Linked DNA regions of Struthio camelus. The protein of the gene in region 1 interacts with the protein of each later gene in a biochemical or structural test. Links are inferred from orthologs where the notes say so. Each region holds a gene or a part of one and is shown in the gene's direction. Other genes may lie near its edges.

Region 1 (3,746 bases):
AGGCTTGATGCAGGCAGATGGGGAAGGGTTTGAGCTTTAAGGGGACTTCCCCGAGCTCGCTGAGACGTCCGCCCGTCGCCCTGCAGCAGCAGCACCGGCCTGGGCAGCTCTTTCGCTTGCAGGTCCCTGGGCACCCCGGTTTGGGAGCAGCCCCGACAGCGTGGTTTGAGCGCGATCGCTCCTAAATCCGTTAAGAAGTGACATCTAAAGTGCTACAAATAACCCTCTGATTATCTGCCGAATCCTAACGCTACTCCCTGGAGATAACCAGCTGCGGTTTTTCCCCTGGGCCATGCAATAATCACCCCAATTACTCCCAAGCAGCCGTTGTTAAACGCACGGCCGACGTTTTCCCCTTTGCAAAGCAAAAAATAATTAAGCAGGTGGCGGCGACCGAGGTCGTGTCTGCTCGCCTGCGGGGAAGGAGGGGACCGTCCCTTCCCTCCGCGGTGACGGGAAACCGCGGGAACCTTAGGAGAAACCTAAGGGTTGGGGGGTGACGCGGGGCGCCTGGGGCGGTTTGGGGCGGCCCGCGGCCGGCAGCACCGCCGTTACCCCCCCCCAGCTTATCTCCCCTCCCAGCTTGTATTTCAGCCCAAATATCAGAGGAAGACGGAAGATTAATTTTTGCCGTTTGCATGGGAAAAAAGATTGGGGGGGGGGGGTGAGCCGGACTCCCGGCGGCTTAATCCGCGGCCGAGACCTGCCGAAGGAAACGGCAAAAACGTCTCGGCGTCGGCGAGATCCCGGCGCGGGGAGGGATGCTCGGCCATGGCCGGCATCGGCAGATTAGCATAAATCCTATTAACGGTTTTTAACCGGAGCAAACATGTCGGTGGAGGCATCATTTTCCCGAAACGGGAGCACTTAATAAACGGCCTCGTTCGTGTGTTAAGAGGTTGCTGGGAGGTTTTAGGTTTTGGTGAATGGGAATGTGTGGAAAATGGAGGTTTTGGGGTTTTTTTTTTTTCCTCCCACCGGCCTCGGGCCGGGAAGCCGGGTCCGCGGATTTCCCTCCTCCTCCTCGGGGGTGGAAATTCGCGTATCGGTCTTGCTGTGGTCGGTGCCTGGAGGCCTCCAAAGCCGCAGCCATCGGCGTTTCCTCGGAAGCGAAGGCGATTTTGGACAACGTTTCATCAAATATCTTCGAGGCGCCTGGGGAGCCTCGGAGGGCTGCAAGGGGCCCATCACCCCCCGCATCTACGGGAGTGGTTGACCGCTGTTCCTGGGCTCGGGCCTCGGTGACAAGCCCGGAGGGTGGCGGCACGGACGAGGCGGGGGACGGACACGATTTTGGGGCGATCTGAGGCCTGTCAGCATCCGCCGCCTGCTCCGTTGCTAAGCAACGCAGGCTGGGACCAGGAACCAGCAGTAAAGATGGCGCCGGGCCGGCTTCATCACGCGGCCTCTGGGGTCCCGTCCGCCCTCGCACGAGGGAGTGGAGCAGAGAAGCCACGCCCTCAGCAGACATGGCGCCGGCTCGGCTTCAGGCTGGCGGTGAGCGAAGCCAATGAGCGGCCGGGAGGGCGGGAGAGCGGCCTGTCATTGGCTGGCCGCTGGGATTCAAACCGAAGTGCGGGGCGGTTGGGCCGGGCGGTTGCAGCCGGCGGGAGCTCGCGCCGGGCCGGCGCCTCAGGTGAGCGGGCGGCTGAGGTAAAGCGGGGCCGCTGCTCGGTACCGGGCCTCCGGGGCCCTCGGTACCGGGTCTCGCCCTGCCAGCGAGGCCCTCGCTTGACCGGGAGGAGCCGGGGGTGGGGGGAGCTGCCTCCGGGCCTCGGCGCGGGCCGGCGGCCCGGGCCGTCCCGGCGCCGGTTTCCTCAGAGATTTTCCCCTGAGGGGGCGGTTGTGGCGCCGAGGGCCGGGCCGGGCCCCGGGGGAGAGGGGGAGGCGGCTGTGGGCACCCTTCGTGCTGGCCTCCTTCCCTCACCCGCCCCCGTCGGGCTGGGCAGCGCCGGGCTAGCGACCCTGCTGCCTTTAATGCAACACACGCAATAAAATAAACCCGGGTTTGCTCGCTGACGACCCTGCTGGATAGAGAAGTCATAGCTGTGTTGCTGAGCTGGAGACTTTTTCTCTTCGTTTCTTCTCTTCTGCTATTGTTGCTGCTGTTTGAGGAAAACATGCTGACTGCCCTGAATTTCAAAAGCTGTTTGCTGTGGGAGCTGTAATTTAAAATGCAGCTAAATTTAAAACTGTATTCAAACTCTTCAGAATGCTGCTCCTATTTTTATCTTATGAAATGCTGAAACCTTACAGATCTTAGTGGCCTATATAGTGCCAAGTTACTCATAGCCTGGGTGCGAGTTATGTTCTGCAGCCTTCCAGAAAGAAAGTCATCTTGTCTTGGGGGCTTGAGCCTCTGTAGTATACTGCAGATTACTTGAAGCAATTACTTGCCTCTTCATATTGCTGTTTTTTTTATCCCTGAACTATGGAGGCATGAGGCTGCTCTTAATGCTCTAGGAATTAGTTGAGATGCATATGTCTTGATTAAAATGCTGTCTTTGTTTGTCTTCTTTGGGCTGCTAACCTCTGCTTGAAGGTGGAAGGAGAGGATTGGGCTGGTTATTTAGGTCCATTTTCTTGGCAGGAAGATGGAGACAGCAATGCTGAATTTGCGGAATCTATTTGATCAGCTTATGCGCCAGGCCGAAGTTTTAAGTGAGGGAAACGAATATCGTAAGTCCTGTCTCTGTGGGTAGTTCCAGTGGGCTGCTCTGTGTTTGCTGTGGGACTATAAACGTGCAAACAAACATCAGTGACTGTTACTGGACAATCTGATGGAGCTGTGGGTGATGAGACTGATGTGGGTAGCCAGACTTGTGTGGGGGTTGGTTGATTGGTTTGTTTTTTCATTGTCTAGAAGGATGAAGTCACAGGCTGAACTGGGCAGGGCTGTGCTCTGCTTCTGTAGCAAGCTGACTTCATCCATGCAGAGTCTTGTATGTTCTAGCTCTTCTGGTTGATGCGAATGTGAAGGACTTGGTCTGAAATCTTAGTGAACATCTAGAGTGCAGTTGGCTTTGCTGAAAGGCCAGCTTGTCTGCCTCTTCTGTCAAGGGTGGGTTACATTGATAGATGCCTACTGTCAGCAAATAGAGGCCTGCTGCATTTCCTCTGCTCGCTTTAGCAACTAAAGATTGAAATGTTTTCTACCCAGAATTTATTCAGTTAGCAAAGAACTTTGAAGAGTTTCGGAGAAAGTGGCAGAAAACAGAGCATGAGCTTGCCAAGTACAAGGATCTTCTAATGAAAACGGAAACTGAACGTAGTGCTCTGGATGTGAAGCTGAAACACGCTCGCAATCAAGTGGACGTGGAGATCAAACGAAGGCAAAAAGCTGAAACAGACTGTGAGAAGTTGGTGAGTAATTCTTCATTACCCAGTTAGCTCATTAGACTGCAGAGAGATAGTGGTTAATCTGCATTGATCTATAGAAAATAAGGACTGGCAGCCAAGATAATTGTTTTTTTTTAAAAAAAAAAAAAAAGGGGGGGGAGGGGGCTTGGCTCCTTGTAGTAGCCTTCTGCTTTGAATAGCCTTTTTATAGGCCAAAGCCTATCAGCTGCTGTTTACAGGAGAGCTGCTGTTACCTAGCAGAGCATGGGCTGCTGTCGCTTTGTGGCCGTTAACGTTCTCCTGAGACAAGTTCTGAGAAAGACGATCTGTGCAGTATCTCAAATACTCGAGATTGGTTCATACGGTAATTAAATGTAGTCTATGCTGTGGCAGCTTCTGATGCTACC
Region 2 (3,746 bases), on another chromosome or scaffold:
AAAATCTGTAATATAAAAAATTGAGTAATACTCAAGAACTTAATTTGGCATATAAGCATAAGCATGTAATAGAAAACAGTGCAAAACTACTCTTTATTTCACTCATATTCTTTTTACAGTGATTCAGCAAGGCATTACGCTAAATGAGGTTTCAGAGATGCTGAGTACCTACCAAAGGATTCATTTCCAGATCAGAAAGTGTTAATATTAGAGAAAATTAAAACGAACGGAACAGAGGATGCATTTGGTATAACTGTTTTGGGGGTTGGTGCCACTGAGTCAGCTGGCTGACTTTCATCTCAACCTGTCAGCGTTTTCACCCGTCAGCTCTCCCCCTACCCCCCCTTTGCTTTAAATTAATTATTCCGAAGCTCAGCATAATATATTGACACTAATACCCTCGGCAAGGCAGAGCTTATTCTTAATAGCATTAATACGTTCATGATGGCCGGGATAATTATTTATCATCCTTTCCATGTCGTGCCTAAAGGCGGTCTGGAGAACAACTACCCACCCCGTGCCCTGAAGAGCCCACAACATGCCGGTGTTCATTAGGGCGCGGTAACAGAGCAGCGGCAGGGAGGGCGCTGCGGCCGTTAACCGCCGCCGCCTCCGCGCTGCCAACGGGCCCTGCTTTACCGCCGCTCCGAGGCAGCCTCGGAGGCCCGCTCGGGCGTAACGGCGAGAGGGAAAGGTAACGCGTCCGCAGCGTGAGTCCTCAGGGCCGCGGGACGGAGCCTCTCTGCGCGCCCCGGGCCCGCTCGCGGGTCGCCCCCAGGGCGGCCTGCGGCCCCACGACACCTCCCGGCCCCCTCGCCCGCCCGCCCGCACCGCCGCTCGCTCCATCCGGGCCTCTCCCCCCCCGGCCGTTGGAAGCGTTCGAAACCCTCCAGCGACCAATCAGAGCAAAGCACTCCCTTTCCCCCCCCTTTTTTTTTTTTTTTTTGAGCAACCTGCTCTTAGGCACCACTACAAGGCCTAATCATTTGCCCAGGAAACTTCCGTCCACCAATAGGAGGCCGCCTGGCAACGAGCGGCAGCGGCGGCAGCCAATCCGAGAGGGCAGAAGCCGAAGCCCCTTCCAAAAAGAGCAGGGGAAGGGGGGGCGGGACGTCTCGAGGGGAAGCCGAATGAGGTGGCGGCTTACAGAGCGGCGGCCGGGGGGGGCGCGGCGGACAGCCAATGCGCGGCGCCCTTAGTGCGCCGGCTCGCTTTTTGAATTGGTGTTGGCGGCCGCTCATGGCGGAGGCTGTCTTTGCGGTTGGTGGTCGTGAAGGGGGGCGGGGGAAGCCGGTACCGGGGTGTCGGGGAGCGGGCGGGTTCGGTGCGGGGGCGCGGAGCGGCGTAGCCGGGCCGGAGCCCGGAGAGGCCGAGGCCGAGCCCGAGGCGGGCGGCGCTGGGCTGCGGGCGGCCTGGGGCGGGGCAGGTTGAGGTGGGCCGAGGCGGGGGGTGCGTCTGGGGCACCTGCGAGGCCTAAACCCTCGCGGGTTTAGGCTCATCGCCGCTCCGGGGCCTCTCTGGGCCGGCAGCGGGTTCTTCCCCTGCACCTACTGGCTTCATAACCTTAGAGCAGGTGGCTGTATCTAATCTGGCCTCTGGCCATCTCCCAACACCACAGCAGCCTGGTCACCCTACTAGGTGGTTCCTCTGGAGGGAAACAAACAGCATGATAAGACTAATATTGTCTACTTGCTTAAAAACATATATATTTGGGGGGTGTGGGTGTTCTGAGCTTCAGGCTCTCCCCAGGTGATGGGGGCTGTCCTTTGGAAGTGCACTGGTACCTGAATCCTGTAGTGATGGTGCCTTTTACTTCCTTTTATGTGAAGGGGAAATGCGTTGGTCGTGGCTTTTGTGTGGGCTGTTTGTTCTCTTCTGTTTTTGGCACTATCAATGTCTGAGTACAGTGACTGGTCGTGCTATGTCATTATTTAATCTGTGACAGCTATAACAGAGGGTAGTAAAAAAAAAGTTGGATATGGCTACTATAACAGGATTATTTTAAAAAAAAAATTAGAAAAGCCATAAAAAAAGTTGCATGGGCAGACCACAGTATGGAGTTCTTCCTGATATACTGTGCAATTCTTTGAAAATGCATGCTCATGTGCAAGTTAGTTGGTATAACAACAGCAGTATGATGGGAGTTATATCAGTACTCCTTTGTGGCAGTGTTTTTGTTTTTGGTTTTCTTTAGGGCTTGTAGGATTTTAATTTAATTGCATCCTTAAGTGGAGCTTTTTCTGTGTTTTTTTTTTGTTTGTTTGTTTGTCTAGTTTTCAATAAAATTGCTTGTCCTATAGTAATGACTAACAATGTGGAATCTTCTGAGATTATCCCCTGTCCACATTGCCAAATTAAAAGGTAAATGTATAATAGTTCCTGGTGGTATCTTCATAACCTTCTGGACAGGTGATTCCTAAAGACCTTTTCTGGATGAGGTTACTTTCTCCTTTTGCTAGGTCTCTTTCTTCTGGAAAAGATAAAAATCTAGCTGAGTGGCCAGGACCTACTGCTAGGAAACTTGGTTCCATGCAGCCTGCAAGACAAGGTGGCTGTGCTGTAGGAGAACTAGGACTTCCTTCTGTAAAGGCTTGGGATCCTGGACACAATGCAACTTCTTTGTCGTGTGCCCTTCAGGGATCCACTACTTCAATGCCTGAATGCTGCTCTGGTTTTCTTTGGTTCTTCCCAACCTATTCTTAGTTATCCTTCTCTTCCTTCTTCCCCTATTCCCTCATTATTGTAGTGCCTTTGGTATTTTTGCAGATATGGAGAGAAGAGAGGACCATATTATGCAGAGCTGTGTGTGAGGTTATCAAAGCTGCCACCTTTGTTGCAATTATAGTTGAATATGCCTAGGTTTATGACAGGTTTGTGGTATTGGCATATTGCTCAATGCAATGTCAGGAGCTTATCTGATGCAGTGTGAAGACGTTATATATCCTATCTAAAGTCTCAAACGTGATGTCCTGGATTCTAGAAGATAAACTTCTTTTCTCTGTTGCTGTCACGGCAAAACTCCCAGTTTTCAGCCTTATGACTTTACTTTTCTGCCTAATTGGACAGGCATTACATCACTTGAAAAGTGGTTGATGCTGCTCTCCTGGGGTTTTACTACCTCAGCAGTCTTCCTTCAAACAATGCTTTAGTGTATTATTTTGGGGATGACTTTGTAAAGGGGCATTTATAGTCATAAGGAGAGCTGCTTCAGTCAAAGAGATACAGGGGTTATTTTATGGCAGCAGTTCGGACACAGAGGTTATCCCAGTTATTGCTACCACTGCACAAATGTTTAAATTTGCGTGACTGAGTCACAGGAAATGCATACTTTTGGATTCAAGCACAGAGGAAAATGTGCTACATTTCGGGCAGGTGTCTTGCAATAAATATTCTGATTTGCTACTGTACAAAATATGAAAGGATTAAGATTTTTCCAGTGTGCAGCAAACTTGTTTAATGGGTGGGAAGGGTACTGCTATATTCTGTTTGAGCGAAGGTAAAACCTCTTTATCTGATGAATGAGTACTACTCCTACGTTATAGTTAATGTAGGACAGTACAATAGATCGTACGCTTAGACCTATATGTACGCTTATTAACTCCATAGGCACTTTCATTACTTTTGAAGAACCTAACACTTCCGTGTAAGGTCTGCTGCTTATATTCCCTGGGTGGTCATTTTCATTGACTCCAACGTTAAACCAAAGTAATCCTGGCCAGTTCACCTAAAAAGTGAGATTTTTAGCA

What was found.
Region 2: the proteins of RACGAP1 (region 1) and ECT2 form a complex in vitro, tested with the Homo sapiens proteins (3 studies listed by BioGRID and IntAct, with this or other methods). The link is inferred for Struthio camelus from reciprocal best matches to the Homo sapiens genes RACGAP1 and ECT2.

What each region holds. Positions count from the first base shown.
Region 1 is NC_090969.1:1,513,618-1,517,363, forward strand, and holds the start of RACGAP1 (rac GTPase-activating protein 1), read left to right. Parts: upstream 1-1,495; 5' UTR 1,496-1,510; coding exon 1,511-1,636; exon of another isoform or gene 1,637-1,653; intron 1,654-2,542; exon of another isoform or gene 2,543-2,594; coding exon 2,595-2,679; intron 2,680-2,953; exon of another isoform or gene 2,954-3,061; intron 3,062-3,160; coding exon 3,161-3,363; intron 3,364-3,746.
Region 2 is NC_090950.1:27,061,124-27,064,869, reverse strand, and holds the start of ECT2 (protein ECT2), read left to right. Parts: upstream 1-1,137; 5' UTR 1,138-1,260; exon of another isoform or gene 1,261-1,293; intron 1,294-2,273; exon of another isoform or gene 2,274-2,361; intron 2,362-3,746. UniProt on the Homo sapiens protein: Guanine nucleotide exchange factor (GEF) that catalyzes the exchange of GDP for GTP. Promotes guanine nucleotide exchange on the Rho family members of small GTPases, like RHOA, RHOC, RAC1 and CDC42.